2 linked regions of the Oryzias latipes genome follow. The protein of the gene in region 2 binds, or shares a complex with, the protein of the main gene of each other region. Links are inferred from orthologs where the notes say so. Each region holds a gene or a part of one and is shown on either strand. Other genes may lie near its edges. The genes, in order: partitioning defective 6 homolog alpha and llgl1.

Region 1 (3,821 bases), on a different chromosome or scaffold from region 2:
AATGGAACAAACATTCAGATTTCTATTAAAAAAACTGCACCCCAGCACCCAGTTCCCCCCCACCCCCATCTGCTGCCCTCTGATTGGTTGACAGGCCTGTCATTCTTCAAAATGAAGCCTTAGATTTGGAGGGAAAACCGACAGTAGTTTGACAGAAATCAAAGATTCAATAAATAGGAAAGACTTGTTTCCTGAAAAATTATTCAGATTCTATTTTGAGGACTTTTCAAATGTTGTAAATAACAAATATTTCTTTATGCCTGCTATAAAAAAGGGTAAAATTCACACTTTGTAACAAATAAGTTCAAAGACGACACAGCTGTCCTGGATATTATTATAATCAAAGCTTAAAAAGACTGATCAGGTTTACTTTTCTATAATCCACTTTAGCACAGCTGCATATTATAAGTTTCTTACCAATTCAAATATTATTCCTGTATTTTCGTAGAATGAAAGTTATTTATTTTTACCATCAATGCTTTGTAATTTGGGGGCTTTTAGGGCAGAAAAAAAAGCAGTTTCTTCTGTGTTCCTGGAACATTTAGGAAGACAGAGCAGATCATGTGTCTTCTAATGCTTTGCAGTAATTCTGCATGTCTGATCCTACGTCCTGGTCAGTCCTATTCATAAAACATCTTAGAGTTGTGAAGAAATGCTCAGTTGAAGCCTCAGTGGGAAAAGAAGCCATAATAGAGCATAGATGGGGATGGTTTGCATTTATTTCTTAGGCTGGTTAGTCAGAGAAATCAGACCGACGCGTGAACGCAGCATCAGTCAGGTTCTATAACTGCACCAAAGCAGTGGATCTACTGTTGGTTGAAGCAGTGACTTCATCTGAACTAATCACTGTCAGTGTTTGACCTTTACCTGATGCTCCTCTTCCTCGGCAGTTTGACGCAGAATATCGCCGGTTTGGTTTGAAGAGGAGTGGACCGGGAAACTTCCAGGAGTTCTACCGCTTCCTCCAGAACATCCACCACATCCGTGGGATGGATGTGCTGCTGGGCTACGCAGACATCCACGGGGACCTCCTGCCCATCAACAACGACGAGAACTTCTACAAAGCTGTGTCCTCTGCCAATCCACTGCTGCGGATTGTCATATCCAAGAAAGGTAAGAACTCTGGGAAGGTGGGAACCCCCATACCCAGAATGCAGCAGCAGAGGAAGAACGAGTCCACACAAACAGGTCAAATCTGCAGGTTCCTGGTGTCACTAACATCAGAGGTTGAAACTTCTAGTGCCACAGAATGACAAAAACTGCTCCCGTAGAAATGTAAGGATTGAAAGCCAGTTTCACCAAAAGAAAACCAGAATCGGTTTTGGTTCTTCTGGTCCATTTCAGAAGCTGCAGAGCTGCTCCCGTCTTTGCAAACAGATTTTTTTTTACCACAGCTGTATTTAGGGATCTACCTGCTGGAGAAGCTCTCATCTTAAGTTAATCACACATGTGTGTCACATAGCAGCCAGGACTGACGCTCAATAAGTTCTTTATTGTGTAAATAAATGGTTAAAACTATATATATATCACTGTATTTTACATACCTGTAGCGCTTTACTATCTTTTTAGAAGGCCCAGAGCGCTGTACAGTCACAGTCCCATTCATACATTGATGACGGCTCCACTGCTAAACTCTGGCACCATCCAATAACCACCAGGAGCAATGGGGGGCTCAGTGCCTTGCCCAAGGACACTTCAACACATGGGTGGGCAGGAAGGGAACCAAACCTGTGATCTTCCTAAAAGGAGTCGATGAAGTTAAAGTGAATTTCTTTTTTTTTTTTAAGTTGGAAGTGAACTTATATCTTGTTTTTAGAATGTCTAGTAAATCCACCCCACAGTTTTAATGGAGCCCATGTCCTGGATTAAGTGCATCACAATAGTAAACTCTGGACGTCTTATAATTAAGTTCTACCCCACAGACATTTAAAAAGGGATCCCGTGTTTTCTGCAGCAGGATCTATTGGGATGGCTGGAAATGTTGTCTTGAATGTTGTTTTTGCTGAGCAGAAGTCCCGGTCTGTCTCCTCCCAGAGCTACACCTACTGTAGCTCTGTTTTCATCAACAAGGCAATTTTAGCTTCATAAACTGTGGACAGTTGCATCTATATCTGTTTCTGTGTTTAGGTCTCAAAGGTTTAGTAAAAAGGTTTTTACCAAATTTTAAACTAGCCAGGAGGAGAAGAAAAGACCCCCGTCACATCACTGAGCTGGGATGTAAAGCGCTAATAAAGTCAGGACTTCTAAAGGGGTAAAGCTAAGGAGCAGATTCACACAGCACTGATTTCTGCTTTCAGCTGCTGAGTCTGTGAGGTTTAAATCCAGCTTCTGCAGGTCTTTGAGAAGGTTTAGGAGAAACCAGTCTGCTGTGGATGACATCATTACACAGCTATTCACATTCAGCCAGAAGGTCTCATAGCTGTCAAGGTAGATGTTTTTAGACTGTTCTAAATAAAGTCTGCGCATTCCAAGAATGTGGTTTATCCACATGGTATGAAGTATGGAATGAAGGTGAGGATGGTGGCCTGCATGCAAACACAGTGAGTTCAATGGTCTCTATAGAAGTGGACAGAGCCGGTGTGACGTCACCTGATGCTTTACCTCCAGCTCTGTCACCATGTTGAAGCCAAATGACAGTAATGGGTCTGAGTCAATGTTTCTATAGCAACTACTGGTGCCAATCACAAGTATGTTTGTTAAAAGCCCCCACCTCATCTGTTTGATCAAGCAGATGAGGTGTGGGCCAGTGTACATCTGTTTGGATGGTGGGAGGAAGCTGGAGTCCCCCCACATGCTAACTCCACACAGAAGGGCCCCCCATTGGTGTTCTGGTTCAGTTGGGACTTGAACCAGGGGCCTCCTTGCTGTGAGGCAAGCGGGCTAACCACTGCACCACCATGCAGCCCTTAAAAACATATAATGGGGAAAAAATATAGGATTATGTAGCAAGAATGTCTATTGTGACCAATAGAATGACAGAGTAACAGCTGTTTCTGCATCTCTCTATAGAGGTCTATAGGATTCTGGCTTATTGCAGCCAGCGGGTACTTCCTGTTTGGAACACGCGGGGGGAGGAGTACCTCAGTCCAGCTCTCTATATACAGTCACCTTGGGGTAAACAAAGGTCAGGTTTTTGCTTCACTGTCGACCTCTTCATTACCTCTGGGGCTCCCAGCCTAAGCGCTGCAGGCCACGCCCCTCGTGGTTACAGCTCTCTGTTGTTCTGGACTCGTGGCTCGGTTGTTTGCGTTGACGAGGAGAAGCCTTGCTTGTTTCAGGGATGCTGCATATAAACAGAACAGGAAGTAGCCACCGTTTATATTAGTTATATAATTCACTCATGGATCGGATAAGCACTTTGTTTTCCCCCTGAGAGGAAAACCTTTGCTGATGAGAGTCACGTTTGCTGTCGGCTTCCAGCTGTTTATTGAGGAGCTGCTGTTCAGTGAAGGACCAGAGACACTCAGGAACATGACACCCATCCACACCAGGAGCACAGACACATTTGTAGACTTCTGCACACAGACATTTGTCTGTGTGTTGGGTTTTTTCCGGGGGGGGGGGCATGGATTTAGAGGTAAACGCTGGATAAAACAGACTTTAAACGTAGTGACCTGAGAGCAGTCTGTGCAAGGAGGACGGAGCTGCCACTCGGCCAGGACAGACAGATTAAAGCTCAATCTGAGCAGGAGGCGGTTGTTGGGATGACAGGCCTCTAAATCCCTTTCTAATCAGGTTTTCTCTGCTCAGGGAAAAGAAAATGTTTGTCCTGATTTACATTTAAAGTTATTTCTGAACAAAACCTGGGGGCTATTCCAGCA
Region 2 (3,821 bases):
AAAACCAGGACAATGTCCATATTTCCTCAATCCTTAGCAAACACTCTTGTCCTACACTCACATGGAAACAGCAGGAATTCCAGCAGAGTCCACCGCGACTTTGCAAAATGAAAAGAAGAAGTGCTTGGTGACCACTACACAAAAAGAAAGGCTGACAAATCTGGTTTTCATTACAGCTGAGAAAAAAGGGAAAGGCTCTTCATCCCACATTCCTGAACACGCAGCTCTGTTACCACAGGATACACAACATGTATATGTGCGAGTTAGGAGGGTAAGGCGGAGCGTCGAGTGTGAAGAGGAGGATGAAGGAAATATGAAAACAAGCCATAAAAATCTGCTGGACATCATTCATTTGGTTCCGTTTCTTTGTCTTTGCTGAAACCAGTTTGCTCGGTCTGACTTTATCGGCTTGCTTTAAAATAAAAACTCTCCATGTAAAAAAAAAAAATGAAAGGAGAATTACAAGGCAGTTTATTCAGTTTCAAGTTTAAATAATGAGAACAATAAAGTGGGCTTGTTTGAGATTCAAACACATGAAAACCGTCTGAGGCGTTTCAGGATTCATCCCAGCAGGGAGTCAAACACGCCTGAACTGCGGAAGGAGAACTCGACTGTTTACCTTCCTAAAGGGAGGCCACTCCTCCTCCTCCTCCTCCTCCTGCTGCTGCTGCATTTCTGGGTCATCGCAGGGGTCGTGGGGATCATCGATCGGGTCGCCGTCTGTGTGGAAGACGTTGGCCGTGCTGAGTTTGTACAGTGGAGTCAGAGCAACACCTGAGGCGTCCCAGAAACGAACAGTGCCGTCCTCGTGCCTGCAAGAAGCAGATTTTAGCCCCGGACTGTCCAGTCATGACTCAGCAGATCTGCCTCAATATCTGATTTTGGTAAAGGTCTCATGTTTGAGGTTTCTCATCTAATAGATCAGTGCTACTTTCAATTTAAAAAAATAAATAAGATTTTTTCAAAATAGCAGAGGTTAAACTATTTGACAAAATGATCTCAAACGTCTGCACTTAATTGTAATCTAGTCCATCACCACATCAAATGACGAATATGTTTGTGTGAAAAAAGTCTTTTTTACTTTTGGAGCTTCAAATTTCTTCAAAAAAATTTGATTTCGAACAGAAACGTAGGGTCTAAGCGGCTAAGATGAGTGAGCGTGTGTGCGGACCAACCCTGTCAGCAGCAGCTCCTGTTGTCTGGGTGGGGGTGCCAGGTTCTTCCCTCCACATATTGGCCATTTCTAGACAAACAGAAATTAGGGATTTTATAAGCAGCAGGAGAAATTTACGTGCGACTAAACCAATTTTCGGCTAATATTTACTACGGATGCCGCAATTCTTGAAGCCTACTTTTTACGCCATTGAACCAAATTGTAGGAAAAGTGAATTGTTGCCTCTCTACTGCATTCGTTTGCACAAGTTTATAATGAAAGTGTCAAACACGTGTTGTGCTAAAGTTAATACATTTAATGTTGTTTCATAACAATTGAAACGTTTCTCTTCATTGTCACTTGCTTATTAGGCAATGTGAAAAATAATTTTACTGACTTTTTTAATGTTTTGTCTTACAGAACTCGTATATCGAACGGAAACAAAACTGTGACCCAAAAATCGAGATTTTAACGGAATCATGGGAAAAGTGAATCATAGAATCCCCAGGATTTATTATTCGGCTAACATACTAACTCGCCAATTTTGAAAAACTTCTCAAAACCAATATGGCACTTACCGATATTCTTTTCCCCCTTTCAATTGTATTAACCTTTTACTTTTAAACGTTTAAGAATGGCGCCTTATTTGACTGCTGTAATTTTAAAGTACCATATAAATTAATTTGAGCCAAACAGAGTTGAATATACAGAGAGAAAAAAACAAAAAGAAAAAAAAATTACCATCATCTCTAATCAACCTACGTCACAGAGGTCATCCTCTTTACTAAACACCACTTAGGCACTCTGGGCTCCTTGTGCAAGCCTACCTTGTGTAGATATCAAAAACCGTGGTCTAATATTTGACCAATTAATGTCTTTCAAAAATCATTTTTATCACCTAATTAACAGGTCTAAACTAAGTAAATTGGGAACTAAAGATGACTTGCATTATTGTAATTCATGCTTGTATCTAATATTGTTTAGATTACTGTTATTTCTCTTTTTGCTTGTTTTGATTAATTCAACTGTTGGTACTAAATGCTGCTTGAAAGCTTTTAACAGGAACCAGTAAAAAGGGCTCATTTCATCAGTTTTAAATGCTTTTCATTCTATCCATTTTAGGATTGATTTTACAATTTTAGTTTTGATTCGTAGAGCTCTTAATGAGCAGGCCCCTAATTATGTTTCCTAACTCTTGGTACCACATCTCCAGTCGTCCTCTTTGGTCCTCTGGTCCTACGTAAGGTCCCCAAGACTCTGTAAAAAACTTGAGGTGGCCTCGCGTTTCAAGCAGTAGGATGCCTTGCCCTGATTGTGACCGACAATCAGGGCAAGGCGTATTGGAGTGTAATTTAATGGCCTGAGGGCTTCAGAAAAGGCTTCCTGGGAAACGTCTTGGGACATGGCTTTGTTTTTTAAGAAGTTTTTGTTATTGGTCGGGATCATCAAGGAATATTACTAGAGCACAGAGAGATGCAATTTGGAGAGTAGGTCAACATTTCAGACGCACTCCACGCTGGGAGAAGAATAACACGTTTTAGTTAGTTTAGTTTAGCAATTAGCTAATGTTCATATTTTATGACTGATTTTATGTTTTTGAACAATTATTGGTGTCAACCCCGTCAAAACAACTGTGATTTTGGGCTATATAAATAAAATTGAATGGAACTTATGAATGTAGCAGCGGTTTGTGTGTAATCTGTGTCTAATCAAACAGTTGACGTAAGCTTAAAGACTTGGTAGTATTCAGACAACTTACATCTGCGCTATAAATTCAAACCCTCAGGTCACGTTAATGTGGCTTCATTTTAAGAAGCTGAGAAACTCAGATCAACCAGTTCATGGATTGAAAGCAGTTCTTTTGGATTCTAGTTCTATCTAAAAATAAATGATTTGTTAGTTGACTTACATAAGAAGAATGTATAGAAGCAGAAAGGTCACAAACCATACTGTGTTTAAAAATGTTAAGCCTCTTGCATTGTAAAGAGGAAACTGAATACCTGTTTAAACCGATTTACAAACTAATCCTGACTTTGGCTGATAGACGTTCCTTTGGCTGTTCTCACTCTGTGTGTGTGGCGCCGGCTCTGTTGTGCTTTGCCGGCGTTGATCAGCCGCTCCCACAGCTTGGTGGAGACGTTTGTGACGTGACAGGAGCACGTGATAGCTGACGAGTGAAGGGGAGCGAGGTAAGGAGTGGGCAGCGAGGGCCAACCGGGGGTCAGCAGGTCAATCACAACCAGCTCCTCCTCCAGAAGCACAACGAGAGCCGATGGGTCGTCAAACTCTGAGGGCGGGAAGACAGAAGGCAGGACATTTAAGATCCAAAACAGAATAAAAGTGAAAGGATTTATATCTGCTTGGATTCTTACCTTTGTCGTTGTCCATGTTGTGGACAGTAAAGAAATCGATCACTCGAGATGTGAAGTCCAGAGTGACATGCTCTTTGTCCTGCTGGATGGTTAGACAGTGACGGTCTCCATAGCTGGCTCGTGGCATTCCTCCACTATATAAGATCACCGGGGAACTAGAGAGAAGCAGAGGACCCTATTTGCAGAGGTATTCAGTCTTTTCTATTCAAACTGATCCAATTGTATTCCAGATATTTGTAAACTTAAGCAAATCTGTTTCTCAGAGCAGAGGATAATGGGTACAATCTCAGACAAAG

What was found.
Region 1: the proteins of llgl1 (region 2) and partitioning defective 6 homolog alpha are in contact, whole or in part, in a cryo-EM structure (PDB 8R3Y), measured with the Homo sapiens proteins. The link is inferred for Oryzias latipes from reciprocal best matches to the Homo sapiens genes LLGL1 and PARD6A. Residues at the interface, in NP_004131.4 of Homo sapiens: Lys657, Leu660, Arg665, Thr704, Pro705, Val706, Gln707, Arg708, Arg709, Ile710, Glu711, Pro712, Arg713, Met785, His786, Glu831, Thr850, Ala851, His852, Glu853, Gly854, Cys855, Arg856, Leu884, Lys906; in NP_058644.1 of Homo sapiens: His163, Leu169, Phe171, Tyr172, Ile173, Arg174, Asp175, Ser195, Arg196, Ile221, Lys226, Thr227, Leu228, Asp229, Gln230, Thr232, Asp233, Met234, Met235, Val236, Ala237, Ser239, His240.

The regions. Positions count from the first base shown.
Region 1 is NC_019864.2:4,763,742-4,767,562, forward strand, and holds part of partitioning defective 6 homolog alpha, read left to right. Parts: intron 1-890; coding exon 891-1,113; intron 1,114-3,821. UniProt on the Homo sapiens protein: Adapter protein involved in asymmetrical cell division and cell polarization processes. Probably involved in the formation of epithelial tight junctions.
Region 2 is NC_019866.2:18,056,602-18,060,422, reverse strand, and holds part of llgl1 (lethal(2) giant larvae protein homolog 1), read right to left. Parts: intron 3,681-3,821; coding exon 3,526-3,680; intron 3,441-3,525; coding exon 3,220-3,440; intron 1,244-3,219; coding exon 1,176-1,243; intron 813-1,175; coding exon 620-812; intron 1-619. UniProt on the Homo sapiens protein: Cortical cytoskeleton protein found in a complex involved in maintaining cell polarity and epithelial integrity. Involved in the regulation of mitotic spindle orientation, proliferation, differentiation and tissue organization of neuroepithelial cells.